Linked DNA regions of Macaca fascicularis. The protein of the gene in region 6 interacts with the protein of the main gene of each other region in a pairwise test. Links are inferred from orthologs where the notes say so. Each region holds a gene or a part of one and is shown on either strand. Other genes may lie near its edges.

Evidence for each region.
Region 1: the proteins of AIRIM (region 6) and PPP1R12C interact in binary tests that used the Homo sapiens proteins (3 or more experiments, as listed by UniProt). The two-hybrid records come from large-scale screens. The link is inferred for Macaca fascicularis from reciprocal best matches to the Homo sapiens genes AIRIM and PPP1R12C.
Region 2: the proteins of AIRIM (region 6) and TLE5 interact in binary tests that used the Homo sapiens proteins (3 or more experiments, as listed by UniProt). The two-hybrid records come from large-scale screens. The link is inferred for Macaca fascicularis from reciprocal best matches to the Homo sapiens genes AIRIM and TLE5.
Region 3: the proteins of AIRIM (region 6) and REL interact in binary tests that used the Homo sapiens proteins (3 or more experiments, as listed by UniProt). The two-hybrid records come from large-scale screens. The link is inferred for Macaca fascicularis from reciprocal best matches to the Homo sapiens genes AIRIM and REL.
Region 4: the proteins of AIRIM (region 6) and VPS52 interact in binary tests that used the Homo sapiens proteins (3 or more experiments, as listed by UniProt). The two-hybrid records come from large-scale screens. The link is inferred for Macaca fascicularis from reciprocal best matches to the Homo sapiens genes AIRIM and VPS52.
Region 5: the proteins of AIRIM (region 6) and MEOX2 interact in binary tests that used the Homo sapiens proteins (3 or more experiments, as listed by UniProt). The two-hybrid records come from large-scale screens. The link is inferred for Macaca fascicularis from reciprocal best matches to the Homo sapiens genes AIRIM and MEOX2.
Region 7: the proteins of AIRIM (region 6) and keratin, type I cuticular Ha1 interact in binary tests that used the Homo sapiens proteins (3 or more experiments, as listed by UniProt). The two-hybrid records come from large-scale screens. The link is inferred for Macaca fascicularis from reciprocal best matches to the Homo sapiens genes AIRIM and KRT31.

What each region holds. Positions count from the first base shown.
Region 1 is NC_088393.1:62,991,212-62,995,695, forward strand, and holds the start of PPP1R12C (protein phosphatase 1 regulatory subunit 12C), read right to left. Parts: upstream 2,818-4,484; 5' UTR 2,725-2,817; coding exon 2,404-2,724; intron 1-2,403. UniProt on the Homo sapiens protein: Regulates myosin phosphatase activity.
Region 2 is NC_088393.1:3,763,017-3,767,180, forward strand, and holds the start of TLE5 (TLE family member 5), read right to left. Parts: upstream 2,844-4,164; 5' UTR 2,831-2,843; coding exon 2,603-2,830; intron 2,464-2,602; exon of another isoform or gene 2,101-2,463; coding exon of another isoform or gene 2,074-2,100; intron 1,794-2,073; exon of another isoform or gene 1,522-1,793; intron 1,177-1,521; coding exon 1,079-1,176; intron 1-1,078. UniProt on the Homo sapiens protein: Transcriptional corepressor. Acts as a dominant repressor towards other family members. Inhibits NF-kappa-B-regulated gene expression. May be required for the initiation and maintenance of the differentiated state.
Region 3 is NC_088387.1:61,054,439-61,058,168, forward strand, and holds part of REL (proto-oncogene c-Rel), read right to left. Parts: intron 963-3,730; coding exon 822-962; intron 1-821. UniProt on the Homo sapiens protein: Proto-oncogene that may play a role in differentiation and lymphopoiesis.
Region 4 is NC_088378.1:138,434,864-138,438,593, reverse strand, and holds part of VPS52 (vacuolar protein sorting-associated protein 52 homolog), read right to left. Parts: intron 3,414-3,730; coding exon 3,263-3,413; intron 2,973-3,262; coding exon 2,872-2,972; intron 2,765-2,871; coding exon 2,632-2,764; intron 2,507-2,631; coding exon 2,449-2,506; intron 2,093-2,448; coding exon 1,959-2,092; intron 1,846-1,958; exon of another isoform or gene 1,692-1,845; intron 1,485-1,691; coding exon 1,329-1,484; intron 1-1,328. UniProt on the Homo sapiens protein: Acts as a component of the GARP complex that is involved in retrograde transport from early and late endosomes to the trans-Golgi network (TGN).
Region 5 is NC_088377.1:114,505,916-114,510,445, forward strand, and holds the start of MEOX2 (homeobox protein MOX-2), read left to right. Parts: upstream 1-1,557; 5' UTR 1,558-1,836; coding exon 1,837-2,350; exon of another isoform or gene 2,351-2,397; intron 2,398-4,530. UniProt on the Homo sapiens protein: Mesodermal transcription factor that plays a key role in somitogenesis and somitogenesis and limb muscle differentiation. Required during limb development for normal appendicular muscle formation and for the normal regulation of myogenic genes.
Region 6 is NC_088375.1:197,229,519-197,233,807, reverse strand, and holds the start of AIRIM (AFG2-interacting ribosome maturation factor), read right to left. Parts: upstream 2,963-4,289; 5' UTR 2,750-2,962; exon of another isoform or gene 2,510-2,749; intron 2,311-2,509; exon of another isoform or gene 2,310-2,310; 5' UTR 2,180-2,309; intron 1,686-2,179; exon of another isoform or gene 1,622-1,685; 5' UTR 1,426-1,621; coding exon 1,321-1,425; intron 1,250-1,320; exon of another isoform or gene 698-1,249; intron 583-697; coding exon 302-582; intron 1-301. Other genes in the region: CDCA8 (borealin), read left to right, coding at 3,411-3,504, 3,627-3,755. UniProt on the Homo sapiens protein: Part of the 55LCC heterohexameric ATPase complex which is chromatin-associated and promotes replisome proteostasis to maintain replication fork progression and genome stability.
Region 7 is NC_088390.1:62,443,227-62,447,422, forward strand, and holds the start of keratin, type I cuticular Ha1, read right to left. Parts: upstream 2,977-4,196; 5' UTR 2,908-2,976; coding exon 2,560-2,907; intron 2,361-2,559; coding exon 2,278-2,360; intron 1,929-2,277; coding exon 1,772-1,928; intron 974-1,771; coding exon 812-973; intron 719-811; coding exon 593-718; intron 417-592; coding exon 196-416; intron 1-195.

The DNA.
Region 1 (4,484 bases), on a different chromosome or scaffold from region 6:
ACCTGAAAGCCGGCCTGGCGGACTGGGCTGGGGCGACCTCTCGCCGGGTCCAGGCCAACTAGGTGGCCTGGGGCCTCTGGGGGATGCAGGGGAAGGGGGCTCAGTCTGAAGAGCAGAGCCAGGAACCCCTGTAGGGAAAGTGCAGGAGAGCCAGGGGCATGGGATGGTGACGAGGAAGGGGGACAGGGAACCTGAGCGCCTCTCCTGGGCTTGCCAAGGACTGAAACCCAGGGGCCCGGAGCAGGGCCTTAGGGAAGAGGGGCCCCGGGACCCCGCTCCGGGCGGAGGAGTATGTCCCAGATAGCACTGGGCCTCTTTAAGGAAAGAAGGATGGAGAAAGAGAAGGGGGTAGAGGCGGCCACGACCTGGTGAACACCTAGGACGAACCATTCTCACAAAGGGAGTTTTCCACACGGACACGCCCTCCTCGCCACAGCCCTGCCAGGGCGGGGCGGCTACTGGCCTTATCTCACAGGGAAAACTGATGCACAGAGGAACAGTACAAATTCGGTGCTAGAAAGGTGAAGACCCAAAATTAGAACTCAGGACCAACTTATTCTGATTTTGTTTTTCCAAACTGCTTCTCCTCTTGGGAAGCGTAAGGAAGCAGCAGCACCCGGCTCAGTGAAATGCACCAGACGGCCGCGCCAGAGCAGCTCAGGCTCTGGGAGAGGGCAGCGCAGGGCGGCCACTGAGAACCAGCAGGTCGCGCATCCCCCTTACCTCCCACCCCCCGCCAAGCTCTCCCTCCCAGGATCCTCTCTGGCTCCATCAGTAAGCAAACCCTAGGGGTTCTGGCGGGGAGAGAGAGGTGGCTCCAGGAAATGGGGGTGTGTCACCAGATAAGGAATGTGCTTAAAAGGAGGTGGGGGTCAGGCCCAATATCTGGAGACTAGGAGGGAGGAGGCCTAAGGATGGGGCTTTCTGTCACCAGTCCTGTCCCTAGTGGCCCCACGGTGGGGTGGAGGGGACAGATAAAAGTACCCAGAACCAGAGCCATATTAATCGGTCCTGGGAATATAAGGTGGTCCCGGCTCTGGGACACAAGATCTTGTCCTGAAGTGGCCATGGGGGCCCGGCTTGGAAGAAGAGGACCAGCCGAGCTCTGGGACCCCTGGAAGATGCCGTGACAGGGGCCGGAAGAGCGAGCACAGACTAGAGAGGTAAAGGGGGTATGGGAGCTGCCCGAATTAAAGAAGTGAGAGGTGACCCAAATCCACAGGAGGAGGGGGTGTCCAGGCAAAGAAAGTAAGAGGATGGAGAGGTGGCTAAAGCCAGGGAGACAGGGACTTTGGGGTTGTCGGGAAAAACGGTGATGATGCAGGCCTACGAGAAGGGGAGGTGGGGACGCAAGGGAGAGGCATCCCACAGAGAAGACCATCCTAAGAAACGAGAGATGGCACAGGCCCCAGAAGGAGAGGGAAAAGGGAACCCAGCGAATGAAGATGGCATGGGGGTTGGGGTAGGGAGCAGAGATGCCCGGAGAGGACCCAGACAAGGGCAGGATCCGCTCCGAGGACACCACGTGGTGCAGCGCCGAGAAGGAAGTGCTCTGGAAAGAGCATCCTTGGGCAGCAACGCACAGCACAGAGCAAGGGGAAGAGGGATTGGAGGAAGCTGGAACCTGAAGGAGGTGGTGGGGAAGGATCTGGGCCTAGCCGTAGGGGTGGCCCAGGCCACAAGCTGCAGGCAGAAAGCGGCACAGGTTCAGGGGAGAGAATGCAGGTCAGTGAAAGCAGCACCCGCCAGGAAAGGGGAAACAGCGGGCCAGAGGCGGCGCAGAAGCCAGTAGAGCTCAAAGTGGTCCGGACTCAGGAGAGAGACGGCCGCATTAGAGGGCAGAGTAGAGGGGGCACAGCAAGGGCACTCGGCGGCGAGTGGAGGGCAGCGCAAAGTGACAATGGCCAGGGCCAGGGAGATAGACGAGAGTGAGCTATGGGAGCTGCCTCAGGTTCAGGAGAGGGCAGGGCAGGGAGAGAGACAAAGTCCAGGGCCGGCTAGAGAGGCTCAACATCGGAAGAGGGGAAGTCGAGGGAGGGATGGTAAGGGGGACTGCAGGGGTCAGCACAGGCTGGCAAAGCCAGGGCCAGTTAAAGCGACTCCAATGCGGAAGAGGGTAGATCGAAGGGGACTGGTAAGGATGCCTGGGGCAGGGTGGTAAGCACAGAGTGGCAAAGCCCAGGGCCACTTGAAGCAGCCCCAATTCGGAAGCAGGGTGGTCGAAGAGGGCTGGTAAGGGGGCGCTGGGACGGGGTGTCAGCATAGGGTGGCAAAGCCCAGGGCTAGGAACGACGGGGCGGATCGAGACTGGCAACGGCGGCTCGGAACCGGGGAAGGAGGATGCCCCAGGCGGCGCTGCGGAGGGTGGGCCTGGCCCCGGGAGACGCCGGAGGGGGCGCTGACCTGGTGCAGGGCGCTGATGCCGTCGGCGTTGGTGGAGTCCAGCACTGCGCGGGCGGGCGGCGGCGCGGCGGGGTCGAGCTCGGCGCCGGGGCCAGGGTCGGCGGCGCACAGCATCAGACGCGCTTCGTCCAGGTCGCCGCCCGCACAGGCCGCCAGGAACTCGGCGGCGCGCTCGAAGCGGACGGTGCGGGCGCGGCGCTCTCCGGGGCCAGGCTCGGCGCCCGCCCGCGCCCCCCACTGCCGCAGCTGCTCCCGTCGCCGCTCCCGGGCAGCCGCCGCCGCCGCCCCCGGGCCAGCCGCCGGGCCATCCTCTCCGGACATCGCACCGCCCGCCCGCCCAGCGAGCGAGCGAGCGAGCGCCGAGCCCCAACTGCCGCCGCCGCCCGCCCGCCCCGGGGGCCGCCGGGAACTGCCGCTGGCCCCCCCCACCGCCGCAGGGATCTCCCGGCCCCCGCCCGGCGCGCCGACGTCACGGCGCTGCCCCAGGGTGTGCTGGGCAGGTCGCGGGGAGCGCCGGGAAATGGAGTCCATAAGCGGAAGTTGCCCCTGGCCACTTTCAGGAGTCGCTGTGCCCCGATGCACACTGGGAAGTCCGCAGCTCCGAGGCGCCCAGTGGAAATCACCGAATGAGGGCCTCCTCCGGGGAATGCTGGGAAATGGAGTCTGCAGACCGGAGGGATGCCCCACGGCATACTAGGAAGCGTAGAGTACCGGGTAAAGGGGACGAAGAGCAGGCTGCCCCAGGGCAGTTAGGAAATCGACTGGACAGCCGCGTGGCAGGGAGTGCGGGGAGAGGCAGGGTTGTTTTGTTATTGTTGTTTTATTTTGTTTGTTTTGAGACGGAGTCTCGCTCTGTCTCCACTCTGGAGTTCAGTGGCGCGATATCCGCTCACTGCAACCTCCGCTTCCCAGGTTCAAGCAATTCTCCTGCCTCAGCCCCCAGAGTAGCTGGGATTACAGGCGCCCGCCACCACGCCCTGCTAATTTTTATATTTTTAGTAGAGACGGAATTTCACCATGTTGGCCAGGATGGTCTCGATCTCTTGACCTCGTGATCTGCCCGCCTCGGCCTGTAATCCTGCTGGGATGTCGGGCGTGAGCCTCCACGCCCGGCTGGGTTTTATTTATTTTGGGTTTTTTCCTGATCCCTTAACTCGAAATAAGCTCCACGAGGGCAGGGACTTTTGTCTTCTGTGCACTACTTGTCCTTGGTTCGTAGAACAGAACCTGAGAGTACGTGATCGCAAATATTTTTGGAATGAATGAATGAATGGGTTCACCAGGGCACCATGGGAAACTGAGTCCACAACCCAAAAGCCGTGAAAGACGGTCCATATCCAGGCTTCCCTGGGTGACCTCCCAGGGCATGCTGGGAAATGAAATTTGCGGTGCAAAGGTCAGGACCACGATCCTAGGGCACGCTGGGAAATGTAGCCCACAGGGCCACACCCCTAAAAACACAGCGGGTGGAAGGCATCTCGGGCTCGGGGCAGGAGAAGTCCACAGTCCCTAGTGGTAATCCCTGAACCACACGGAGGAAAGGAACCCAACAGTGACAGGGCTCCCAGAGCCTTCACTGGTCCGCGCTTCTTCTGCGCCCAACCGGACCTCCCGGGACCCGTCCAGGCCCCCGCGCGCTCTCAAGGCATGCTGGGATTGGTGGTCCCGGGCGAGGAGTTCCAGCAGGTGGGGGGCGAATCACCTTACAGCGGGCCCAAGCGATGAGCACACTTTAATCTTCACCTTGCGGATCCCGCGCCTAGCTCCAAATTGGGAAGGTGGCTGGCACTTTGAGACAGGAAGAGACCGACCAAAATCACACAGAATTGGGCCAAAATCCAGACAGGCTACAGACGGTTTCCCAAGCGCTGTGGGAGTTTCCCACCCACTCTGAAGTCCTGGGTTTGCGCGGAGAAGTAAACTGTGCATCCCACGAGGCCTGTTTCTTTCCCTCTCTCTTTCTTTTCCTTTTTTTTTTTTTTTTTTTGTTGTTGTTGTTGTTACGAAAATTTTTGTGGTTTTATTGTATCATGAGGCATTGAAACATTCGAACCACTCTGTCTGGGTGAGGCAGCTGCTTT
Region 2 (4,164 bases), on a different chromosome or scaffold from region 6:
TTTCTGGGGTGGGCACACTTCAGTTTGGAGAGGGCCCCAAGGCCAAACGGGGGTTTGAGCGTAGCCTGACTTCCTCCAGATTCCCAGGCCCGGCGTGCCCCTCCAGAGTAGGGCAGGTGAAAATCTGTATCCTTAAACCTTAAACCAGGAGAGAGACCTGGTGCAAACCTCAGCCTTGCCACTTCCTCAACGCTACGGACATCCCCGAGGAAATAACCTCTCTGGGCTTAAGTTTCTTCTTCTTTTTTTTTTTTTTTGTTTTTTTTCGGACACCGAGTCTCTCTCTGTTACCCAGGCTGGAGTGTGGTGGTTCGATTTCTGCTCACTGCAACCTCCGCCTCCCGGGTTCAAGCAAGTTTCCTGCCTCAGCCACCCAAGTAGCTGGGATTACAGGCGTCTGCCACCACACCCGGCTAATTTTGTATTTTTAGTAGAGACGGGGTTTCGCCATGTTGGCCAGGCTGGTCTCGAACTCCTGACCTCAAGTGATCCACCCGCCTCAGCCTCCCAAAGTGCTGGGGTTACAGGCGTGAGCCACCGGTGGCACCCGGCCTGGGATTAAATTTCTTTAAGTGTAAAAGGACTAAATAGTTCCTTCCCCTTAGATACCACAGCATGGCAAGCTCTTCAGAAACGCCAGGAGATTTCTGAAAGAAGCACCTGGGAGAATCTGACTGATGCTGGGAACCCTTTCTCCAAAACTGGGCAAAGAGAGATGACCAGGCTGCAAAATGTTTGTTTTGGGGGTTGGGGGGACGGCGAGTCTGTGCCCTAACTCCAATTGTCTTTTATCCAAGGGGGGACTTGGGGGGATTGGGTAGGAGGGAGGGGCTCTGAAGCCACACAGCTGAGTCTTTGGGCAAATTATTTAACTTATTTTGTGCCTCAGTTTTGTCCTCCACAGAATGCAGCTGTTTAAAAAAAATGAATTCCCTATTTGTCAAGTATTAGGTCAGAGTCTAGCATACATTATTTTCCCAATCTCCCCTCCAGGCCTCAGCCTTGCCATCTGCGCAGAAGAAATGGGGTGGGGGGCTCACCTTCTCGGGACGCAGGGACCCTCGGCCCCCCAGCTCACCTGTGATACTGAGCTTGCAGTAGCTGAAATTCGTCTTTGATGCGGTCGCAGGAGTCCGAGGTGGTGAATTTGAGTTGCTGGGGTAGGTGCGAAGAGCCCTGTGGGGAAGGGGCGGCCCGGGTCAGGCCCTGGCTTGGGCTGGACCCCCCTCGAGGGCCAGCCGGGAGGGAGCGGCCGCGCAGCTGCGGCGCCCCCCCTCCTGCCCCACTTCCTGGGCCCGTGTTTACGGCCCCTGGCGCGGCCCCCACCCGCGCTTCCTGCCCCCCGCCTCTCCCGGGGGAAGCCGAGAGGGTGGGTGCGCCCGGAGCCGCCCCGACCCCCGCCACCTCCAAGCAGTGGGGGTGCGTTTTAAGGCCTGCCCTAGATGGGGGGCAGGGTGCGCCCTCTACCGCCCCTCCAAAGCGCCGGGAGGGAGTGCACATCCGAGGGGGGTGGATACGCACCCTAGGGAGCCCCCTCCCCAAGTTGGGGGGCAGCGAGTCCTCCCAGCAAAGCCCTCTTGGGGGAGGGGTCTCTCGGCGCCCGAAATCTTCCCGGGGGGCCCACCCCAGATTCCCAGCGCCCTTCCTCGGGGACGCGCTCTTCCGGGAGGGGTGCGCCTCGGATCGCCCCCCCACCACAGGCCCCCAAAGGATCCCCGCGCTAGAGGTGCCTGGCGGGGCTCCCGGAGCGCCCCAGGCCCGAGGCCAAGGCCGTCCGAGGCCCTGCCTGTCCCGGCGAGGGGGGGGGGCGCCAAGCCGGGAGCTGGGACGGGGGGGCTCGGGGCCCGGAAGCTGGGGTGGATCGGGAACTGGGGGGTGTCCGGGGGCCGGCGGCAGGAGGGGGGTCGCGCCGGGCTTGGAGCTGGAGAGGGAAGACAGGGCCGGGGAGTTGGGGGGGGTGCCGGGCCGGAGGCACCGGGCCTGGGGGTGGGGGGCGCGGGGCCGGGAGCCGGGGGTGGGGAGCGCAGGGCCGGGATCCGGGGTGGGGGCGCCTGCCGGACGGACCCCGCTTACCGAATGCCTGCTTTGTGGAAACATCATGTCAGTCGCGGCAGGGGGCGCGGGCTGCGCCCCGGCTGTGCGCCCCGGCTCGGGCTGCTGGGGGCGCCGGGCGGCCGCGCCTTTGTCCCGGCGCCGATCGGCAGCTCCCGGGGCCGCCGCCGCCTCCCGCGCCGGGCCTCGCCCGCTTCCTGCGCCCCCTCCCCGCGCGCCCGGCCCCGGCGCGCCCCGGGCCCCGCTTCCTGCGCGCCCGGCGCCCCTCCCCGCCCCTCCCCGCCGCCCGCCTCCCCGCTCCCCGGCCCCACCGCTATTGTCTAATGGCGGCGACGCCGGCAGTGGCCGCGGCTCGGCTGATGCAGAGGCTCCGGCTCCACCTGCCGCCGCCGCCCGTGCCCCGTGCGCGCCGCCGAGGGGGGGGAGGCGCGCGCCCGGGGAGGCCTGCGGATCCCCACCCCGGCCCGCCTCCCCAGGGCCCGCCCGCCGCGGTGACCTTGGGCCCCGCCCGCCCCCGCCCCGGGCCGCGGCCCCCGCCACCCCCCCCAACCCGGCAGCAGGCCGGGCCTCGGTTTCCCCATCTGTCAAAGAAAAGGGACCCGGCTGCCCGCGTCGAAGCCGCCAGCCCTGCCGTGGCACGACCTGGACGCGTGCCACGGACGTGCTCTGTGACCTTGGCTCTGGCTGGGCGGTGGTTCTCGCTGAGCCTCAGTTTCCTTTTCTGCAGAAAGGCAGCGGTAATGCCGCCTTTCTCAGGGAAGCCATTCTTGCGACACATTTATAGAACGCCTACTGTGTGCCAGGGCCTGCTGCTCCAGGGCCCTGTGGTGGGGGCGGGGGTGGGGGGTCCCTGCTCTGGTGGTGGTGCCTGGAGACAGACAGAGACAAATTAACAAGCTGAATTCCCAGCAGGTCAGATGGTGGGGACGGTTCTGCAGAAAAACCAGCCGGGAGGATGGCAGGGTAGGAAGATGCAAAGTTAAACAGGTGGCAGGGAGGATCAGAGAGAGCTTCCTCCGCCCCTAAAACGACCCAAAGAAGGAGAGAGAACAGGGGGATGGGGTACAGAGGTACTCAGAGGCAGGACCAGCAGGTGTAAAGGCCCTGGGGCAGGACTGTGCCTGGCATCAGGGTGCCAGGGCGGAGGTCAGGAAGGCCGGAGGGAGGCAGGGCCTGGGGCTTCATGCATTTGCCCAGGCCCCCCCACTCCTCAGCAGGGCTTGTGCTTGGGTTAATATTTAGTGCTGCATTTTGAGATTCCTAATCATTTTTGAACAAGGGGCCTTTCAGTTTTCTTTTGCACTGGGCCCTGCTAACTCTGTAGCTGGTGAAGCAGGCCAGTCCAGCAAGGACTTGTGGGCCATGGGGAGGACTTGGGTTTTTGGGTGAGTGAAGTGGGAGCCCTGGAAGGCTGTGGGAGGAGGAGGGATGGGACCTGGTGGTTTGTTTTTTGTTTGCTTTTGAGACGGAGTTTCACTCTTGTTGCCCAGGCTGGAATGCAATGGCACGATCCCAGCTCGCTACATCCTCTGCCTCCCGTGTTCAAGTGATTCTCCTGCCTCAGCCTCCCGAGTAGCTGGGATTACAGGCACGTGCTACCACGCCCGGCTAATTTTGTATTTTTAGTAGAGACGAGAGTTCTCCATGTCGGTCAGGCTGGTCTTGAACTCCCGACCTCAGGTGATCCACCTGCCTCGGCCTCCCAAAGTGCTGGGATTACAGGCGTGAGCCACCTTGCCCAGCTGTTTGTTTTTGAGATGGAGTCTCACTCTGTTGCCCAGGCTGGAATGCAGTGACGTGATCTTGCCTCACTGCAACCTCCGCCTCCCGGGTTCAAGTGATTCTCCTGCCTCAACCTCTCGTGTAGCTGGGATTACAGGTGCGTACCACCATGCCTGGCTAATTTTTGTATGTTTAGTAGAGATGGGTTTCACTATATTGGCCAGGCTGATCTTGAAATCCTGACGTTGGGTGATCCTCCCGCCTCTACCTCCCAGAGTGCAGGGATTACAAGTGTGAGCCACCGCACCTGGCTTTAGACTTGTGCTTTTGCTCTGAGTGAGGTGGGAATCCTGGAGAGCCGTGGGAAGAGGAGGAATGGGACCTGGTGGC
Region 3 (3,730 bases), on a different chromosome or scaffold from region 6:
AAAGCTCTACATGATAAGGATACTCTGATCTACCTTTATAGCCCTACATCTCTCTATCCTTCTACACATAAAACAGGTATGGCCATACACCATTGGTGGACATATATATAAGTCTATGTACACACACACACACACACACACACACACACACACACACACACACACACACACACAGTATTTTGGGGGAAAGTTTCATAATCTTTTAAAATGAGATATATCCATATCCTTTGATCCAGCATTTGCCATGCAGTGAGGCATGATTACACCACTGCACTCCAGCTTGGGTGACAGAGTGAGACCCTGTCTCCAAAAAAAAACCAATTAAAAAAAAACATATACAAGAATATGTATTGCAGTACAGTTTGCTAGGCCAAAAAGAAAAAATGAGAAAAGAAACAAACCAAATGTCTTATAAGAAGGTAATTAATAAAATTATGATGTAACTACATAATAAAATATGCTGCTACTGAAAAGAATAAGGTGATTGAAAGGAAAATGTTCAAGATATATGGTAAGAAGAAAGTTTTTAAACAATCATCACTTATGATTTTAAGTTGCCACAATTGTACTGTGTCAAAAATGATGACGACAATGTATTTATGTATATATAGGAAGAAAAAACTGGTAAAATATGCACCTAAGGATAGTGATTATCCCTGGAGGATGAGATTAGAGAAGATTTCCTTTCTGTTATATATTTCTGTAATGCCTGGAAGTTTTCCTATCATGAATATATTGTTTTTCTAATTACCAAAATACTTTTAAGACTTAAACCATTACAAAAAAACAAGACTACAAATGTAAGAAAATGAAGTACTTACGGTTATCATAAATTGGGTTCGAGACAACAGGAGGAAGAGCAGTCGTCAAATTACCATGTTCATCAGGGAGGAAAACTTGAAAACATAATCTCACCACATTGAGGTCACAATCTTCAATATCATTCAGCTGTTTTTCAGGGACTGAATAGTAAAAAAAAAAAAAAATTTTAAGAATGTAATAGTCACATAGACCTAAAGTCCTGCTAGGTCCTCCTCCCTGCCCATTATAGCCAATAACCTTGAATAGAATCCAAATCTGTACGAATACAAATAGGATAGTATACAAAGAATGCCTTGTATCATTCTTATCAAGTAGTCACTATCAAACAGTATTTAATAAATTATAGCCATGTTCAGGAAGTAACTATCTCCTCACCTGGGGATAATCCCAAGTTGACATTAATACCAAATCAAAGTTTTAAAAAAAAGTTGCAAGTTTGTACACAACAAAGAATGGCATTTACCCATTCATTCAACAAACATGTATTTGGTCCAGGTGTTGTATTAAGGACTCTGTAAATTATCTCCTAAATCTGTAAAAGAATTACTTTCATCCTCATTTTACAAATGAGGAACTGAGTTTAATTAGCTTTTTTGAGATGGGGGTCTCACTCTGTTTCCCAGGCTGGAGTGCAATGATGCGATTTTGCCTCACCCCAACCTCTGCCTCCCAGGCTCAAGTGATCTTCCCATCTCAGCCTCCCGAGTAGCTGGGACTACAGGCACATGCCACCACGCCCAGCTAATTTTTCTATTTTTTTGTAGAGATGGGGTTTCGCTATGTTGCCCAAGGTGGTCACGAACTCCCAGGCTGAAGTGATCCACCCACCTTGGCCTCCCAAAGTATTGAGTTTACAGGCGTAAGCCACTGAGCCTGGCCTGGAACTGATTTTAAAGAGAGGAATTACTTGCCCAAAGTTTCACAGTGGCAAAGTGGAAATGTGAACTCAAGTCATTAAATTTAGAGCCTATGCTTTTAAAAATTGAACTCTATTAGAAAATTGTACATATGTTATACATAAAAATGACATAAACAAGAATATCTACTAAAATGTGGATCAACATTTTAAGGATGAAATACCAAGAAACAAACAAAGTAAGATAGCTAGTTTCCATAAGAAATTTTATGTGTAAATTAGCTTTGCTTAAAAATTTTTTTAATTAAAAATTTTACAGTTCTATAAAACTAGAAAAGCTCATGACAGAATATAGTATAATAGTTTGTTAAATTAATATTTGAACCAGAAATCCAGTCCCAAAAGAAAATATTGCCTTTTCAAATGCCATAAGCTAAAGCACTAAGTTATATTTTTAAAAAGCATGACATGCACATTATTTACACAACAATTTTACTTTGCAAAGTATTAAATTTTGAAACACTAAATTTAGAAACACAGTTAAGCCCAAATTCCTTATTTTACAGGCAATAACTAATAAAAATGATAATGTATTTTGTACTGTTTTTATTTAATGACACTGACAGCCTACGTAGCTATCACAATATTTAGAAGTATCCCAGTATTAGCATTCTTAGCCTAACCTTTGAAAGAGTGCATTAAAAAAATCTGTACTCTGTACAACTGAAAGGTCAAAATGTTATGATACCAACGCTTGGGTTACAGCAGCATACTCTACTGGCACTATTGTGTAGGCGATACGAGCGCTACCTCTTCAAAACCCATTTTTATAGCATTATAAATGTAGCGTTCAAGATATTAGTGTCTATCAATTGCAAAGATGAGTAATCAATATGCAAAAAAGATAAATTTGTAGCTAGATGTTCCTGATAAGTTTAAAAACAAACCTATGTGAACTCTGTCAATGGATAAACCAACTGTGGTATAGTCCTACAATGGAATAAACTCAGCAATAAGAGAGAACAAACTGGCCAGGCGTGGTGGCTCACGCCTGTATTCCCAGTACTTTGGGAGGCCGAGGTGGGCGGATCATGAGGTCAGGAGATCGAGAACATCCTGGCTACCACGGTGAAATCCCGCCTCTACTAAAAATACAAAAAATTAGCCGGGCATGGGGGCGGGCGCCTATAATCCCAGCTACTCAGGAGGGTGAGGCAGGAGAATGGTGAACCCGGGAGACAGAGTTTGTAGTGAGCCAAGATCGTGCCACTGCACTCCAGCCAGGGGGACAGAGCGATACTCCATCTCAAAAAAAAAGAAAAAGAAAAAAAGAACTATGGGGGGTATATACTCCCAAATGAATGTATCTCAAAACCATGCTGAGCAAAAGAAACCAGATACAAAAGTATACTGTATGCTTCCATTTATATGCAGTTTTAGAAAAGATTAATCTCCAGTGACAGAAGGCAGATTAGTAATTGAGGCAGAGGCAGGGTAGAAAAATGAACGAGAAGGGGACCACGGAAATTTTAGGGGGTAATGGAGATGTTCCACATCTTGATTGTGGTGGTGGTTATGTGGCAGGATATATTCTGGTAGATTTTATTGCATCTCAATAAAAATTTATTTTAAATATTTTTAGGCCGGGCGCGGTGGCTCAAGCCTGTAATCCCAGCACTTTGGGAGGCCGAGACGGGCGGATCACGAGGTCAGGAGATCGAGACCATCCTGGCTAACACGGTGAAACCCCGTCTCTACTAAAAATACAAAAAATTAGCCGGGCGAGGTGGCGGGCGCCTGTAGTCCCAACTACTCGGGAGGCTGAGGCAGGAGAATGGCGTGAACCCGGGAGGCGGAGCTTGCAGTGAGCTGAGATCCGGCCATTGCACTCCAGCCTGGGCGGCAGAGCGAGACTCCGTCTCAAAAAAAAAAAAATTAAAAATTAAAAATAAATAAATAAATAAATATTTTTAAATGTTACATAAAAGAAAAATAAATAAACTGGTCAATAAGCCAAAGTTTAAAAACATTTAGTCACATAATAGCTCTACT
Region 4 (3,730 bases), on a different chromosome or scaffold from region 6:
GGAATTACAGGCGCCTGCCACCACGCCTGACTAATTTTTGTATTTTTAGTAAAGATGGGGTTTCACCATGTTGGCCAAGCTGGTCTCGAACTCCTGACCTCAGGTGATCCGCCCACCTCAGCCTCCTAAAGTGCTGGGATTACAGGTGTGAGCCACTGCGCCCGGCGTTTTTGACTTTAGAGACAGGTTCTTGCTTTGTCACCTAGGCTAGATTGCAATGGTACAATCACAGTTCACTGCAGCCTCAAACATCTGGGCTCAAGTGATGTTCCCACCTCAGCCTGCCAAGTAGCTGGGACCATGGGTGTGTACCACCATGCCTGGCTTATTTTTAAATTTTTTGTCAAGACAAGGTCTTGCCATGTTGCCCAGGCTGGTCTTGAACTCCTGGCCTCAAGCAATCTTCCTGCCTTGGTCTCCCAAAGTACCGGGATTACAGGTGTAAACCACTGCACCTGGCTGCAGCAGGATCTACGATCACAAGCCTATCACAGCAGAGTTCCAGGCTGAGCTTGGGTCAGGGGTTTGGAGGACCCTCAGTTTTCACGTGCTATTGCCTGATTCTGATTGTGGGGCAGCAGCAGGGGGAGTCTCAGGGACCCTACACTCTGAGGATTTCATGGGAAGTAACACTGTGACAAGTCTAAGTAACAAGGCTTAGACTTTTTTTTTTTTGAGATGGAGTCTTGCTCTGTCACCCAGGCTGGAGTGCAGTGGCACAGTCTTGGCTCACTGCAACCTCCTCCTCCTAGGTTCAAGCAATTCTCCTGCCTCGGCCTCCTGATTAGCTAGGATTACAGGCTGCGCACGCCCGACTAATTTTGTATTTTTAGTGGAGATGGGGTTTCACCATGTTGGTCAGGCTGGTCTCGAACTCACAGATCCTCCCGCCTCAGCCTCCCAAAATGCTGGGATTACAGGTGTGAGCCACTGTGCCCAGCTTTTCTTTTTTTTGTTTTAAGAGATAGGTCTCACTCTGGAGTGCATGGCTCACTGCAGCCTTGACCTCCTGGGCTCAAGCAATCCTTCCACCTCAGCATCTCAAGTAGCTACGACCACAGGCATACATCAACACACAGCTGGCTAATTTTTTATTTTTCATAGACAGGCCAGGCTGGTCTCAAACTCCTGAGCTCAGGCAATCCTACTGCCTCAGACTCCCAAAATGCTGGGATTATGGGCGTGCGCTACCATGCCCAGCCAAGGCTTAGACATTTTAGAATGAGGATCCTGATTGATTTCAGTTCTACCAGAGTCATGACCCCACTATGCTGCTGATGAAGACTGGGGACAAAGGTGTTGAATAGTACAGGAAATAGGAATCTTACCAGGGTCATGCTGAGTGTACGGCCCATGACAGCATGGAACAGGTCATGTGCAGCCGGGCCAGACACAACAAAAAATTCACAGATGAAAAGGTATTCGCGGCAGGAATTGTCTAGGAGGGCGTAGTGCTGGCTGCGGAAGAGGGCCTCAAATGGATACTGGGAGAGGAGAAGTAAAGAAGAAACACAGAAGGGATGGACCCCAACACTGACTTCCCATGGATATGGCTGCAAAATCAGTAAACCTGGGTAATAAGAGCTGGGCAGACCCTTGGCATCCATCTAGGTCCAGGCTGTCAAAGAGCAAGCTGAATGGGCACTGAAAAGGTGGGGGAACATAGGGGTACAAAAAGGGCCTACACCCACCTGCTGTTGCTACTCCTGCATCCACCTCAACACCTGCCTCTGACCGTCATTCCCCTCATCCAGTCTCTCCCCTCTGCATGCCCTTAAGTCAATGGTTCCCAGCTCTTTTCACATCACAGCAGGCTGGAGTGATTGGAGAAGGCCACTCCCAAGTCTAAGGGGATCGAGACAGGGCCTGCAGGTTGGGAAGCTCTGCCCTGAGGTCTGGCCTTCCCTCCCTCCATGCTCAGAGTCTCTTTCATGACTGAAGCTTGTTCCTCCTCATACCCTCTGCTCTCCACGCTGGGCTGTGTGAGGCACCAGGATGGGGGCCTCAAGTTCAGTGGGGGAGATGACAGAGCCACGGGTTCCTAGGGTGAAAATGGTGTTCCTGCTGCGGAGTGATGGCTTTGAGAAGAATCGTAAGATGGGTCAGAGTCAGGGAAAACAATGAGACCATAACTGGGCCCAAAGACTCACTATCTGCAGGGACCCCAGACAGCGAGACATGGCCTAGTCAGCCCTCTTTCCCAGTACTAGGGCCCCACGTGATGACATCTGTGAACGGACTTCAGGGTGTCTCCCCACCTCCTGCAATCATATGCAAAACTATGTGTCAAAATGACGCATCTTTCTTAGGAGGGAGGCTATAGCTTTCATCACATTCTAAAAGGTTTCAGTCCCATAGGAAAAGGTAAGGAACAGTGCCTTGGTGGCTGCAGCCGAAAGTCCTCCCACTCTCAAGACCTGGCATGAGGGTTCCCCAGGACTAGGATATCTTTCTTCGCTGTATCTTCCACGCCCATTAGATCATCTTTCTCAGCAACTTCCTCATACTAAGAAAACAGAAAAGAGAACTGATAACCGTCTCTTCCGACAACACAATAAAATATTCCTTGCCCAGGGATGTCCCCTCCTCCCAGTCCACGTGCCCAGGAATGCCTCTCCCTCCTGACCTTACCTGCACCTTCATGAGCCGCCCCAGGTAAGAGCGGTAGTAAGACAGGTAGATCTTGCTCAGCGTCTCCACGTATTCATCCCTGATTTCCTTTGCTGTTGCTCGTTCATTGCCCAGCAGAAACTGATAGAAGAACCTAGGAGGTCAGGAACATGTCAGTCTACCTGTCTCCCAGGAAACCAGATGCCATTAGGCTGCTCAAAAGCTCAAAGGCCATCCCATGCACTTCCTTGGGGTTGTGACCTGTACTTCAGCAGGGCCGTCTGGGGGATCTGATAGTTGGTCATTGGTTTCCTGAAGGAATAAATCTTCTGGAGGATAAACTCTCGGATCTTCATCACTGCCTAGATGTGGGGAACCAAGCACAGAGCATGAAGCTGCAACCTTTTTGCTGTATGAGAGGAATTGGGGGAAGCAACAAATGGTAAACATAGATTGAAAAGTGGTGCATATCTCTTTGGTATTTCTCAAGATTTTCAAGGAAACCCAGAGAGGCAAGAATGGGGCTGCCCAGAAAAGGCAGGGTGAAGTTCTTGGAGACAGGCTACAGTGAGCTCTGCCAAGAAAATCCATAGTGAAGATCTTGGGAGGGCTGCTTCTAGTAGCCTCCAGGGTATCCATCCCTACTTCCCACCTTGACCCGGAGCCGATCGAGCACGCCTCTGACATCCGCGCAGGCTGCTGTGCCTCTAGCTTCCTGCTCTCTGACTGCAGCTGCCTTGGCATCCAGCTCCTGTAGCTGCTCCAAGAACCTGGGCTCTGTCACTGGAGCCTCCAGAATTGCCCTGGGTAGCAGGAAGGGGTGGGATAAGTTACAAGGGAAACCCAGACATCCCTAAACCAGACCCAGACCACACTCCTTACCTCCAGCTCCTATCATCTCTACCACCTTGCACTGTACCATATAGTCAGGACACATGTACAAAGTTTTCTATTCCTGGACCTTCCCACTATACACCTGATCTTACATCATTCTTTTTTTTTTTTTTTTTTTTTTTGAGACGGAGTCTCGCTCTGTCACCCAGGCTGGAGTGCAGTGGCCGGATCTCAGCTCACTGCAAGCTCCGCCTCCCGGGTTCACGCCATTCTCCTGCCTCAGCCT
Region 5 (4,530 bases), on a different chromosome or scaffold from region 6:
TTCGATCTTTCACACGGATGTTTTTGAGAAGCCACTATTCTACAGCATGACTTACAAGAAAAGAAGATAGTGAGGCTTAAGCAGGGGGACTGGAAGAGGAGGGGGAAGGTTCTGCTTTGGGGACACCTCTCAAAGATTAATCAATACTTTTTCCTAATTCAAACCAGATGTCTAGCCCAGTTTGCTGTACCCATTAATCCCACTAACAACTTCAAAGACCTGCTCATCATCCTCTGGACACCTGAGACAATGAAAATAACGGGGCGACACTGCTGGTGGTGCATTTGGGGCCCCGGGCGGAATAGGTGACTACAGATATTCTCCTGATGCGACAGGTCCCAGATGGGACTTGACTGTTTCTCCTGCTCATTACAGAGCCACTCACTTGTGTGTAAACGACTCTGCCCCCAGCGGACCCTGTCACCCGCCAAACAAGTGGCAGTCTCAAAGCCCTGCCATCGTTCTTGCATGCTTACTGGAGGCAAATTTTCTAATTTATTTTCACGGATGCAAAGTTATAGCCAAGTGCCCAAGCTTAGTGAATTTTGGGAGCTATCGAAATGTAAGATTTCTCAGTAAATGGGACGGTGGTGATAAGGGATGCGATTAGCGGATTTATTTTTGAGGGGAAGAGAGTGGATTTCTGTAGGAAACTGCGGAGACCTAGGCTAGCTCCTGAGGGGAAAGGCTAGATATGTGCGTGCAATCTACACATCTCATGTGACCGGGACAAAATCGCCTGGAAATATTTTTGACCCAGGAAAATTTCTTCTTGGTGGACAAGTGGCTAGGAAATTGAGCGGGACCAGGAAAGAGGGGGAAGGGAGACTCCACCTGGCATCGCACAAGAGGATGCCAGGGAACAGGCATCTGCAACCCTTTCAGACTCACGCCTTCCTCCCACCCACCCTACCGGGTCCCTCTTGGTTCCGCACTGAGAACTGCCTTTTCCAGGCCATGGTACTCATCCCCACAACCTCAGATCTGGCGTCCCAGCCCATTAACAATCCACCCACAGAAACCAGCTGTGAAAACCTAGGCGCGCTGCGGCGCCCAGGGCACTGGAAGATGCGAAGTTTGAAAAACTTCGAGGATGCGCCTAACTAGCTCTGATCTTTTCGTTTAACCCTATTACTTCTTTTGGGTTCCTGAAAGGCTAGGCATATCCCTAGCTTTTCTGCAGGTGACAGTTCACAAATGACACTGACAAATCACGATTCCCGGAGAGGAAAGTGAGTAGGTAGGAATCAGGGTGCTGGGTTGGGGGTGGTGTGCGCCGCGCCCAGGCCTCCAGAGTCTGGAGGGCAGAGCTGCTGCCCTCCCGGGCGGGACTTAGGCACTGGCGTGCCGCTTGTAGCCCTGGCAGCCGGCAGTGCTGGGCGGGCGTGGACGCTCTGCGTCTGTCCAGCAGGCGATAGGAAGTGGAACTGGGGAGCGCGTGGCGCAAACTGAGCGGGAGTTTTGGAGGGAGTTTGCATGTGGTCAACTCTGGGCTCCTAAGCCGGCCCCCAGCTCACGTTACACTCTATTTATAACCTCTCAGAGCCATTTCCCCCTGAAAGCAGTTCTCTGGGACCACCTTCTTTTGGCTTCAACCTCTCCCACTCTTGACATCTGAGTAGTTCAGGGAAGCTCTTCCAGGTCCGACTGTTCATATGCAAAGGAGACTGGTCGCTGGGGCTCAGAACCGGGATTATCCGAGCTCTGCAGAAGTGCACGGCTATTGCTTTGGGAGGGTAAAAAAAAATCATACGGTTTCCAGTGAAAAGTGACAGAGGGTGGTGACCTTTGGAACCGTCCTGAAGTCTTCTGCCTGGAACCTGAAACTTGCATGCTATGGAACACCCGCTCTTTGGCTGCCTGCGCAGCCCTCACGCCACGGCGCAAGGCTTGCACCCGTTCTCCCAATCTTCTCTCGCCCTCCATGGAAGATCTGACCATATGTCTTACCCCGAGCTCTCTACTTCTTCCTCATCTTGCATAATCGCGGGATACCCCAACGAAGAAGGCATGTTTGCCAGCCAGCATCACAGGGGGCACCACCACCACCACCACCACCACCATCACCATCATCAGCAGCAGCAGCACCAGGCTCTGCAAACCAACTGGCACCTCCCGCAGATGTCTTCCCCACCGAGTGCGGCTCGACACAGCCTCTGCCTCCAGCCCGACTCCGGAGGGCCCCCAGAGTTGGGGAGCAGCCCTCCGGTCCTGTGTTCCAACTCTTCCAGCTTGGGCTCCAGCACCCCGACTGGGGCCGCGTGCGCGCCGGGGGACTACGGCCGCCAGGCACTGTCACCTGCGGAGGCGGAGAAGCGAAGCGGTGGCAAGAGGAAAAGCGACAGCTCAGGTAAGGGCGCACCAGGCACCCTCGAGAGTGCGCGCCGGCCTGGAAAGGGGGCGGAGAGATGCCAGGGGAGATTCTCGCACTACAGGGTGGCAGCGGGGAATATGGGAATGTGTTGCCCTTTGTGGCTTCCCGCGGCCAAATTCGGCGGTGAAGCTTTGGTCCTGATATTTGGGGGACACGTGTTTATCCGAGAGCAATGCATATACAGCCAGCAGCTCTAAGCTCTCCAAGGTCCTAAACTAGTTTACCAGAAGGTTGATAAAAAAGGACAAGTGGCTGTGAAATCGATTGCGAAGCGTGACCTTCCATCCCAGCGCTGGGGAGGGAGGGGCGTGCGCCCAGAGATGCAGCGTCGGTTGGGCAGGCGTGCGTGCGGGTGCCGCTTCTTGACTTTTCTCTTGCAAGTTCCCGACTGTGAGTGGCTCGATTTTTCCCATCGTTAACTGGATTTCCAAATCATTGCACAATATTTGGAACTTGCAGTGGAACTTGGCAGAGCGCATGAGAAAAAAAAAAGTTTTAGTTTTTTTTTTTTTTTTTCTAACATTCTTATTTCAGCGTTCTTTAAATAGCACCCTATTTCAAATGGTAAAATTTTCCCTTTATTGGGGAAAAAGACATTATCTAGGAATTCAGATTTTAAGGAATGTGTCAGAGAATTGTAAATAAATAGATGCTCACATTGGAAGAAAGACGAACCTTAATAGTACATGTTCATGTGGTGTAAGCTAATTACAGAATCAACGTTTCAAAAGTGGAAAACAAATCCCTCTACCAAGTGGGTATTAGTAGAGACAAATACAGCGAAGCAACAGTAGCTCGGGTAGTGTTAGTTAGCTACGTGCCTGAAGGTGGTATGTAAGGGTGCGCGCAGGAGGCGCTGATTTTAGTGGGGGATAATTTGAGCAGCCACGGAAAAGGGAAACCTTTCTGACCTCTGGTACTTGAAGACACACTTGCCGAGTAACTTTTCTGTAGCAATCCAGAGAAACTCAAAGTTTTCCAGACCACTTTTCAAAGCTCTTACCTACCTGTATTATCATAAAATTGTTAAAAGATACTTTAAAATTAAGAGACTTGTGAGTTTTCTTTCGTGGCTATAGTGCAACCTGGATTGCATATTTTTGGAAGATATCATTTGTTTAATATAACATTTGCATATTTTTCTTCCTCTGCGGAATTGGGTTAATAATAGTCCTAGAAGGTAATCCCATATGTTGGTTTGAAGTATTGGACAAATGTTTATCGTGTATAAAGCTTTAGGTAAGATGCCACCTAAATGAAAATGATTGACCGCATATTTAATATTCCTTCACCCTTCACAGCAATATCAATTGTTATTCAGCAATCCTATGGGATGGATTCTTCTGTCATGGTCTCAAAAGCTAACTTTTATTTTCCAAGGTCAGGGGGTGAACTTTTAATGTTCTGTCACAAATTAGTTTTTATAAGAAAATTACCAGTAGTGTCACTGATATTTAATGTACTTTCCTAACTATAAGTGAAAGTCTCTTTAGATAGTGAGTTGAATGGTTAATCATAGCAAGAAGGTTTCAATTTGTATTAGAAAAACAGTCAATTTTAGAATGCAGTGACAATTTCATAAACCGAACATTTGATATCAGTGTCACTTTGGAAGCAGATCCCAGTTCAGGTTGATGAGAGTACTCTTGCAATTCCCGTAAGCTCTTACTGTTCATTTTATTTTTTGCAATGAGTAACCTACATGACAGATTGTCCTTTATGCTTCCTGAACTGAGCCATTGCTCTTAAGTTTCTTAGGGCAAACTGAATTTTCATACAAGCACATGTTATTTTGTTTGGGGGAAACCAAGAAAGTGGAATTCAGTAACTGATTCCCTTAATTTATTTTAATAATTTTTTTAAAGTGGAATAATTTAACAAAACGTGTTTATCTCTCCTCCTAACTTAGTGGGAAATAACCATTTAACAAAATTAAGTTCATTTCTACATGTTGAAGCTGATAATGAGGGTACTGGAAAAACAAGCCAATATAAGTGTTTGTGTCAGCTGCATAAATTATTAACAGATTAAAACTTGAGTGGAAAGTACAATTAGTCATCACCAAGGATAAAAATACTGGGGACTTAGGACGAGCTTTTCTTTCCTTTGATATTTTGAAGAAATATTGACTAAAAGGAAGTATCCCAATAATTTCT
Region 6 (4,289 bases):
CCTTTTACCAAAGAAAACTATAGGGCAGAGCTAATAGGCTTTCTCTGCTCCTTTTCTGTTCTTCTTTTGTGACTTCCACTAAGCCCACCACTGCCATGCCTAGTCTCTGACAAGGAAAATGCCAGAAAATGGCTTTCTGACAGAGGTCTCACTGCCCCAGATGGTAAGTGAGGAAGGTTGAGATACCTCCAAATGCCACGCTTTCAAGGAGAAAAACACCTTCTGGACTGATACTAGCTACATATAAAACACCTCGTTTTAAAATCCTTCCACCAGGAAAGAGCACTATGGAGCTGCTTACAGCCTTTCCCCTAGCTTGTCCAGGACGATGTCACCAGCAGCCAGCTGCTTGCGCCTCAGCCGCTCTTTTAAGTCTGGGAAGGCCCGAAGCGCCGGCACATCCTCGAACCGCAGGTTCTGTGCGGCCTGCAGCTGCTCCGCCAGGTTGCTGAGGGAAGACAGGAGGGGCTGGCAGTCCTGCAGGGCACTCTGCCACAGGCCCTGCTGCTCCTCCACCACCAGGAAGCACTTCTTCAGGGCCTCCTGCACGGCAAGCAGAGGCCGGTCTTGAGTCATCTTCTGCTGAAAAAGATAAAAATAGAAAATAACCACGTTGGGGTGGCAAGTCAGTCCGGGAGGCACTGGGTCGAGGGTGGGCGTCATTTCCGTCCTCGTGTTCACACAGGAGTTGTCTCACCTCCAGAAGTGGTTTTTTTTGTTTTTGTTTTTTTCGACACGGAATTTCACTCTGTCGCCCAGGCTGGAGTGCAGTAGCGCTATCTCGGCTCACTCCAACCTCTGCATCCCAGGTTCAAGCAATTCTCCTGTCTCAGCCTCCCGAGTAGCTGGGAATACAGGTGCCCGCCACCACGCCCGGCTAATTTTTGTATTTTTAGTAGAGACAGGGTTTCGCCATGTTGGCCAGGCTGGTCTTGAACTCCTGACCTCAGGTTTTCCGCCCGTCTCGGTATCCCAAAGTGCTGGGATTACAGGCGTGAGCCACCAGCCCCGGCCCTGCCTCAGCTTTCTGAAGGAGATCCTGGCTTCCCCTTGGGAAGGGTAACCTGGATAGGGCAGTCTCCTGCTTCAGAGGATTCCCGGCGGCCAATCGCCGTCTCTTCTCTGACCTACAGTCCTGTCTCCCCTGCCCGAGGCTGCCGGTCGCGTTCCTGAAACCAGCGGAAAAACTTAAAAGTCAAGACACCCAAAGCGTGAGCACCACGCGCCCATAGTCTCTCTGCGCATGCTCACAGGCGACCGCCCCCAAAGCTCCTCCGCAGGCCTGCAAGGCTATTGAGTCGCGAAAATATATCATAGTACCGAAATTACTTCTGGGTACTGTAGTCCAACATGTGGATTGGCCACTCGGCTTGAAGCTTCCTTGGGACTGGATGTTGGGACCGTCCAAACACGGCGACTTCTCATTTGTCAGCCTGCGGCAGTTTAAATTGGGTGGCAGTGGTGGCATGTCCTCTTAACTGTGGAGTCTTTTCCTCTCAGCTTGCGCCTTCGGCTGTGCCTTAATGACACTTTTGACATTGTGTATCACAACCAACTGGCAAAAACTAGTGAATCACGGGCTCCTGACGTGGCAGCTCTCGCTGAGATGCAGGTGGACATCCTAGGTGCCCAGGGAGGTCGGGCACATTGGGGAGTCGGGTGAAGGAAACCCTGAAACCGAGAGGCTGGAAGCCCAATTTGCCCATCATAAAAACACCTGCTGCGGGAAAGCCTACATGAGGTACGGGTTGTCGTCCCCTCTCATCTTGGCCATCTAACTGATGGAGATCCTTAGGCACCCAGCAGACTCGGGTGTCACCCCCACCACCCACTGCCCAGGGCTGACCTTGGGCGGAAGAGCGACATTCAAATATTTTTTGTATATGGAGCAACAAACCAGGGTGGAAGAGAGAGAGAAAGGACTTTCTAGGAAGGGCCAGGCTTGCCAGGGTTTCTATGCTTGGACTGCTCTGTCCCCAAGCTCGCTGGTGCCCATCAGGAGCCTGCTTGGCACCTTTGCTTATTTCTTTGATTGTTCCTGAACTCAGAGGGGGAGAGGCAAGATTATCACTCCCATAGCCTATAACATGCACGCTTAAACACAAACAACCCCTCTGACATGGCTTCATTCCGCATCCACAGGTGAAAAGCACCAAATCCAAACAATCAGGCCACAAACCTGTCAAGAGCTCGCCGGTCTGGCCGTCCAGTCGTCGCCCGCCTTGAGACTCAGCCTGAGCTACAGCTTCGAAACTAGCCTCTAGCCTTGCTGGGTCTCAGCACAACCCTTGAGCAATCCAACCCTGTGGCTGTGGGCAGATGCAAAGATGCACAGTTAGCACTTCCGACAGGACTGCGGCTCAGCGGGGTTCGAGGTCTACACGCCCATTCCCAGGCCCACGGCCAGAACACCCAGAGCTGCCTCCTGCCCTGGGCTCCCTGGAGTGTGGTGGCCGCGGCTCACGCTGCAGTCACCGCGTGGGCAGCTGCCAAGCGCCACTACTCGCACCTGAAGTCGCGGCCCCGCGCTGCACACCCAGTCGAGGCGCCAAGACGCGAACTGGACGGGAGTGGCCGGCCCGCGGGCAAGCGAGGAACAAGAGGGTTCTCCCCACTCGCTGCCCAAACTGGCCACGGGCTGGCGCGCCCACCCCAAAGCCTGCACCCCGGCCCCGCTCCCCTGTCATTCCGCCTCGACCCCTTCCAAACCCTGTCGGGGCTGCTCTGTCTCCGCCGACCCTCCACTTGCCCCAAGTTCGGCCTGGGGAGCTTGGGGCCCTGAGGAGCGCCGACGTAGGCAGCCAACCAGTCAATCAGTCAGAGTGTCACGGCGGCCCCTCGGCTACTCAGTGGCAGCCAGGCCTGGAAGAAGCAGCCGCCGGCCCCGGAGCAGAATCCTACAGCCGACCTGACCTAGTCCGCTCCTAGCCCTTCAAAGATTGGGGTAATGAGGACCCGCCGCAAGGCCTGCCGGGAGTCGCAGTTTGTATAGTTTGCAGCCGGCCAGGGCGGAGCCGGGTGGGTTGGTGGGGAGGGCGGGGAAACAAGCCTGGACCACAACTCCCAGGAGCACCCGCGACGGCGGCGCCCGCGCTGACGCACTCCGGCTATAGGGAGCGCATTGGGCGGGAGACCCCGGGCAGGTAGGAACTTGCTTGTGATTGGATACTGTGGGACGGCGGTTTCTCATTCGTCAGCCTGTGGCTGTGGAGTTTGAATTAGGTGGCGGTTGACGGTAGAGCCGCTCTCTCTCACTGGCATAGCGAGGTTTTACTCAGTCCTTGTCGCGAGACCGGAGGTACGTGCCTGGCGACTTATTCGGGTGGTCCCCATCCGCCCTCCTGGTCCCTACCTGGTTCCTTGCCTCCCTGCCCCATCTCCGCCGCTCCCCGCAGCCTCCGCCGAGCGCCATGGCTCCTAGGAAGGGCAGTAGTCGGGTGGCCAAGATCAACTCCTTACGGAGGCGGAAGCTCGCCTCCTTTCTGAAAGACTTCGACCGTGAAGGTAAAGGGGCCAGGCCGTCGCGGCCTCCTGGGGCGGTCGCGGGATGCTGGCGGGTGGGGACACGAGCTGCACACATTCACCCGCCCCGTGACCCGTGTCCTGTCGGCTCTGCCCTCCCGCAGTGGAAATACGAATCAAGCAAATTGAGTCAGACAGGCAGAACCTCCTCAAGGAGGTGGATAACCTCTACAACATCGAGATCCTGCGGCTCCCCAAGGCGCTGCGCCAGATGAACTGGCTTGACTACTTCGGTAAGAGCTGGAGAGCTTCCCTGGGCGGAGGCCGGGAGCCCCGTGGGGTTAGGTAACACCCTTCAGAAAGGACTCGCTCAGATGTCACCTTTTAATGAAATCTGACATGACCACTTATGGAAAATTGCAGACCCTTTCACTCTCTGTCTCACTTCCGTAAGTCATGTGTCTCCATCCTTTTCTCTAAAGGCCTAGGTAGCAAATATTTTAGGCTACTTGAGCCGGTGGGAGGGGTCTCTGTCGGACAACTTAGCTCTGCTGTTACAGGTCCAAAACAGCTATAGTGAATGGGCATGGATGGGCTGTATTCCAATAAAATTTTAGTTGTGGATACACTGAAATGTGAATTTCACATAATTTTCACACATCAGGAATTTTATTTTATTTTTTTGGAACAGAGTCTCACTCTGTCACCCAGGCTGGAGTGCAGTGCAGTGGTGCGATCTTGGCTCACTGCAACCTCCACCTTCTGTATTCAAGTGATTCTCCTGCCTCAGCCTCCGGAGTAGCTGGGATTACGGTCTCCTGCCACTA
Region 7 (4,196 bases), on a different chromosome or scaffold from region 6:
TGTACATCAAACAACTCTTGCTACCAAACCATTTATGTTTTAAATGATGGCCATATTATATTGTCTGAGTTCTGTTTGAGCATGTCTAGTGTGAAGGCATAATTTCCTTTCCAAGGTATGCAATCTTTGCATTGTGTCTGAGTATTACACTCACACGTGCACCGCTTCATCAAATACATCTGCCCATGTACTCACTTGCAGTCCTCGCTCTCCAGGAGGCTCCGGTACGTGTTGATCTCACACTCTAGCCGGGCACGCACATCCAGCAGCACCTGGTACTCCTGGTTCTGCCGCTCCAGGTCACAGCGGATCTCCGCCAGCTGCGACTCCACATTGGTGATCAGGCTCTGCACCTGGGACAGCTGGGAGCTGTAGCGGGCCTCGCTCTCAGTCAGTGTGTTTTCAAGAGAGTCTCGCTGTGGTGGGGAAGATCCGGAATGTCAGAGAGCTGCTCCTTCAAAGGGTTTCTTCATAGGATTCCAAGGAAGTCACAAGCTCCAAGAGCTAAGGAGAGTGTGTGGCCCCAAGGGCATCCCCAGGACTCTGCCTTCCAATTTCCCATTGCTCACCAGCAGGTCAGAACAATACACACCAGGTTATGCTGGGCCTGCAGCTCAATCTCCAGGGCATTGACCGTTCGTCTCAGCTCGATGATCTCTGCCTGGTAGGACTGCAGCTGCTCCGAGCTGGATACCACCTGCTTGTTCAGCTCCTCGGTCTGAAACACCCAAGGGGAGAAAGGATCAGACCCTGCCTCTGGGGCCATAGGGTGGGCCTTGGGTCCTGAGTGGCCACGTGCTTAGATGCCCACCTGCGTGGTGAACCATTGCTCCACTTCCCTGCGGTTGGTTTCCACCAGGGCCTCATACTGACTCCTGGTCTCATTTAGCACCCGGTTCAGGTCCACAGTGGGGGCAGCATCTACCTCCACGTTGAGACGGTCTCCAAGCTGGCAGCGCAGGGTGTTGACCTCCTATGGATGCAGAAAATACAAGAGTTACTATGCTCAGCAAAGAATGGACTCTAAGGAATGGCATTGCTTGTTGAAGCCCTGTTAGTCTGTTCTCTCAGAACAGAAACTTTGAGTGGAGCAGTCTGTGACAGCTCAAGGCACTCCATGTGGCATAGCCCCCTCCCCACCATCTGCTGTGCCATGGCACTTGGCTTCAGAAAAAAATCCCAAAAGTTTGCTTGGATGCCACTGAAGGATGGACTAATTGAGGTTCAACTTTCCCAGTTTACAACTGGCTGTGAGGACCTCAGCATACAAAAAAAAAATAAAATTGGCTGTGCAATTTCAGACCGTATATCAAAAAACTCTTGTTGTCAAGTAAGAGATAAGAGCATATCATGGCCCCTCCCAGGAGAGAGAGGAAGAAGCTCACAAACACTATTCGCCAATACTTTGAAAGAGTAGAGACTCACATTTATAAGGTTTGATTTTTTTTCTTGGTCTTTGGCAAAAAAAAAAAAGACTTTGCAAAGCAGTAACACTGCAATGCTAGGACTCATTCTATAACTATTGACCAATTTCAAGCACATGGAGCTGCTCTGGGCAACTCAAAGAATGTGCTAGTTTAAAGTGAAAGATGTTTCCTGTCTGGGAACATGAACAGGTCTTATCTCTCTCCAATTTTTCTCTTGCCGTGATGTTTTTAAAGGAAACCCTCAGCCTTGTACTCATACTCTGCATTCTGCTGCCCCTAATCACTAAAGCTACCCTGAGTCAGAGGCTGAGACAGGTTTGTGCATTTCTGATTTCTAGTCTCACCTGCTCGTGATTGCTCTTGAGGCACAGCAGCTCCTCCTTCAGGGACTCCACCTGGGCCTCCAGGTCGGACTTGCACAGGGTCAGCTCATCCAGGATCCTACGCAGACCATTGATGTCCGACTCCACCAGCTGCCGCAGGGACAGCTCAGTCTGGTACCTGCACAAGGAGCGGGTCAGAGCACTACTTGGTAGATCTTCAACACTCACAGGAATGATTTTTGATAACCTCATGTGCCTTATCTTTCCACTTTCTGTAATGAATAGGCCCAGGAGACAGAGGTTTCTGGAGGCTCCATCAATACCCAATATTCATCCCAAAACAAACAGATTGATGTGAGTCCTCATCTATTTTTGTGATTTCTTTGCTTGGTTCTCCCCAATCCTCTGCAGAATCCTTCACAGCAAGTGGGTAGATCTGTTTTTCAGTACAGCCATGGAAATCCCTTTTCTGTAACTAAAGATTAAACAGAAGAAATGGACACTAGTGCAAATTCCGAACAACTCACTTGGTTCTGAAATCATCCGCAGCCAGCTTGGCGTTGTCGATCTGCACCACAAGCCTGGCATTCTCGGACTTGGTACACAGGATCTGGGGAGTGAGAGGTGGCTTAGTGAGGACTGAAAATAAATATGACATCATCAACTTTTTAAAAATGACTTAAAAAGACATTTTGAAATAAAAGAGGAAGCAAGAATTATGACAGCACAGAAGCAAGAAACACACTTCTCTATCACAGACAGAATCACTGCAAACTCTCTTGCTTGGAGATGACAGCAATGCCCCTCACCTTCTGCTGAAGCTCCTCGATGGTCTTGAAGTAGGACTGGTAGCTGGGGCACAGCAAGGGCTCCTGCTGCTGGGACCGCTCCCGGATGAGGCTCTCCAGCTCCGCGTTGTCCCGCTCCAGCTGACGCACCTTCTCCAGGTAGCTGGCCAGACGGTCGTTCAGGAACTGCATGGTCTCCTTCTCGCTGCCATTGAAGGAGCCCTCGCAGAACCAGTTGCAGTTGCTCACATTGGCAGGGATGTTGCAGGCCCCGGGTAGGGTGCAGCCGTGGCAGCTGGGGGGCACGCAGGGCCGGGAGGAGCAGCTGGTGCGGCAGCTCAGGCTGGGCAGGCAGAAGTTGTAGGGCATGGTGCTGGGAGGGAGGGAGTGAGTGCCTGGCTGAAGACAGAGTCTAAATTCTCCAAGCCACAGAGCTGTGGGTCTCCTTCCTCTAGGGAGCATTTATATCCCACTGCAGAGGGTGTGGACACAGTATGTAATGTCTTTTTTCTTTTTATTTCTTCACTTCTTTTCAAACGCCCTTTCCTTCAGTCTGTTATTTGCCTTCCTCAGAAGAGTCCCTTGTCCCATAAAATTCTTTACTTGGGCTTCTTGCTAAGTCAGGACTCCTCCGCAGACAGTCCACCCATGAAATCAGAGTTCTGTGGTAGGCCTTCAAAGAGGCTACACAGTCCAGCCCAAGTATCTGCCCTCATTAATTGAGGTGTTGATCCATCCAATGACATTCTTTTGTGTCACATAATCCTGCAGGCCCGTAAACATACTCATGTCCTGGTCCACCTGCCATTTCTAGGGAGAAACACGGATTGGTTTGAGGAAGAAGTTGCATTAAGAGGCCACAGTGGACTGTGTTTCCCTCTTCATTTAAAGAAGAATCTTCAAATGATGGAGCATTCCATGCCTTGGAAGCCTTAAGGTGGATGACTAGAATCAATGGAGGACAGGGATGAAAATATTAGACAGCAATTTGTGTTTTACGGGTCCGTGTAATACTTCCCCGCCAACACTGCATATTACTTAAGAAAATTGTAGAGGAGAGAATTTTAAAGGTAGAGGCTTTGACAACTAGTTTGAGAACAGAGAAGTTTCTAGGGTAAGAGATCATTTTGAAAGAAGGCTGAAAAGTGCAAACTGAGAGAGCCATAAAAAACACACTTAAGGCTGGACGTGGTGGCTCATGCCTGTAATCCCAGTACCTTGGGAGGCCGAGGCAGGCGGGTCACGAGGTCAAGAGATTGAGACCATCCTGGCCAACATAGTGAAACCCATCTCTACTAAAAATACAAAAAAAAATTAGCTGGGTGTGGTGGCGGGCACCTGTAGTCCCAGCTACTCGGGAGGCTGAGGCAGGAGAATGGTGAGAACCCGGGAGGCGGAGCTTGCTGTGAGCTAGGATCCCGCCACTGCACTCCAGCCTGGGTGACAGAGCGAGACTCTGTCTCAAAAAACAAACAAACAGAAAAAGGCATTTAAATGACCTAGAAAAGATATTTAGGGGCAGAGAGAAAGGAATAAGGAGAGAGAAAGGAATAAGGAGGTGTTTGTCAAACATTTCTTCGGGTGTCCATAGTATCCAAACAGAGTAGATGGATATGTTAGGAAAGTCAGGAGATAGCCCAAAGGGGCCTCCACAGGCA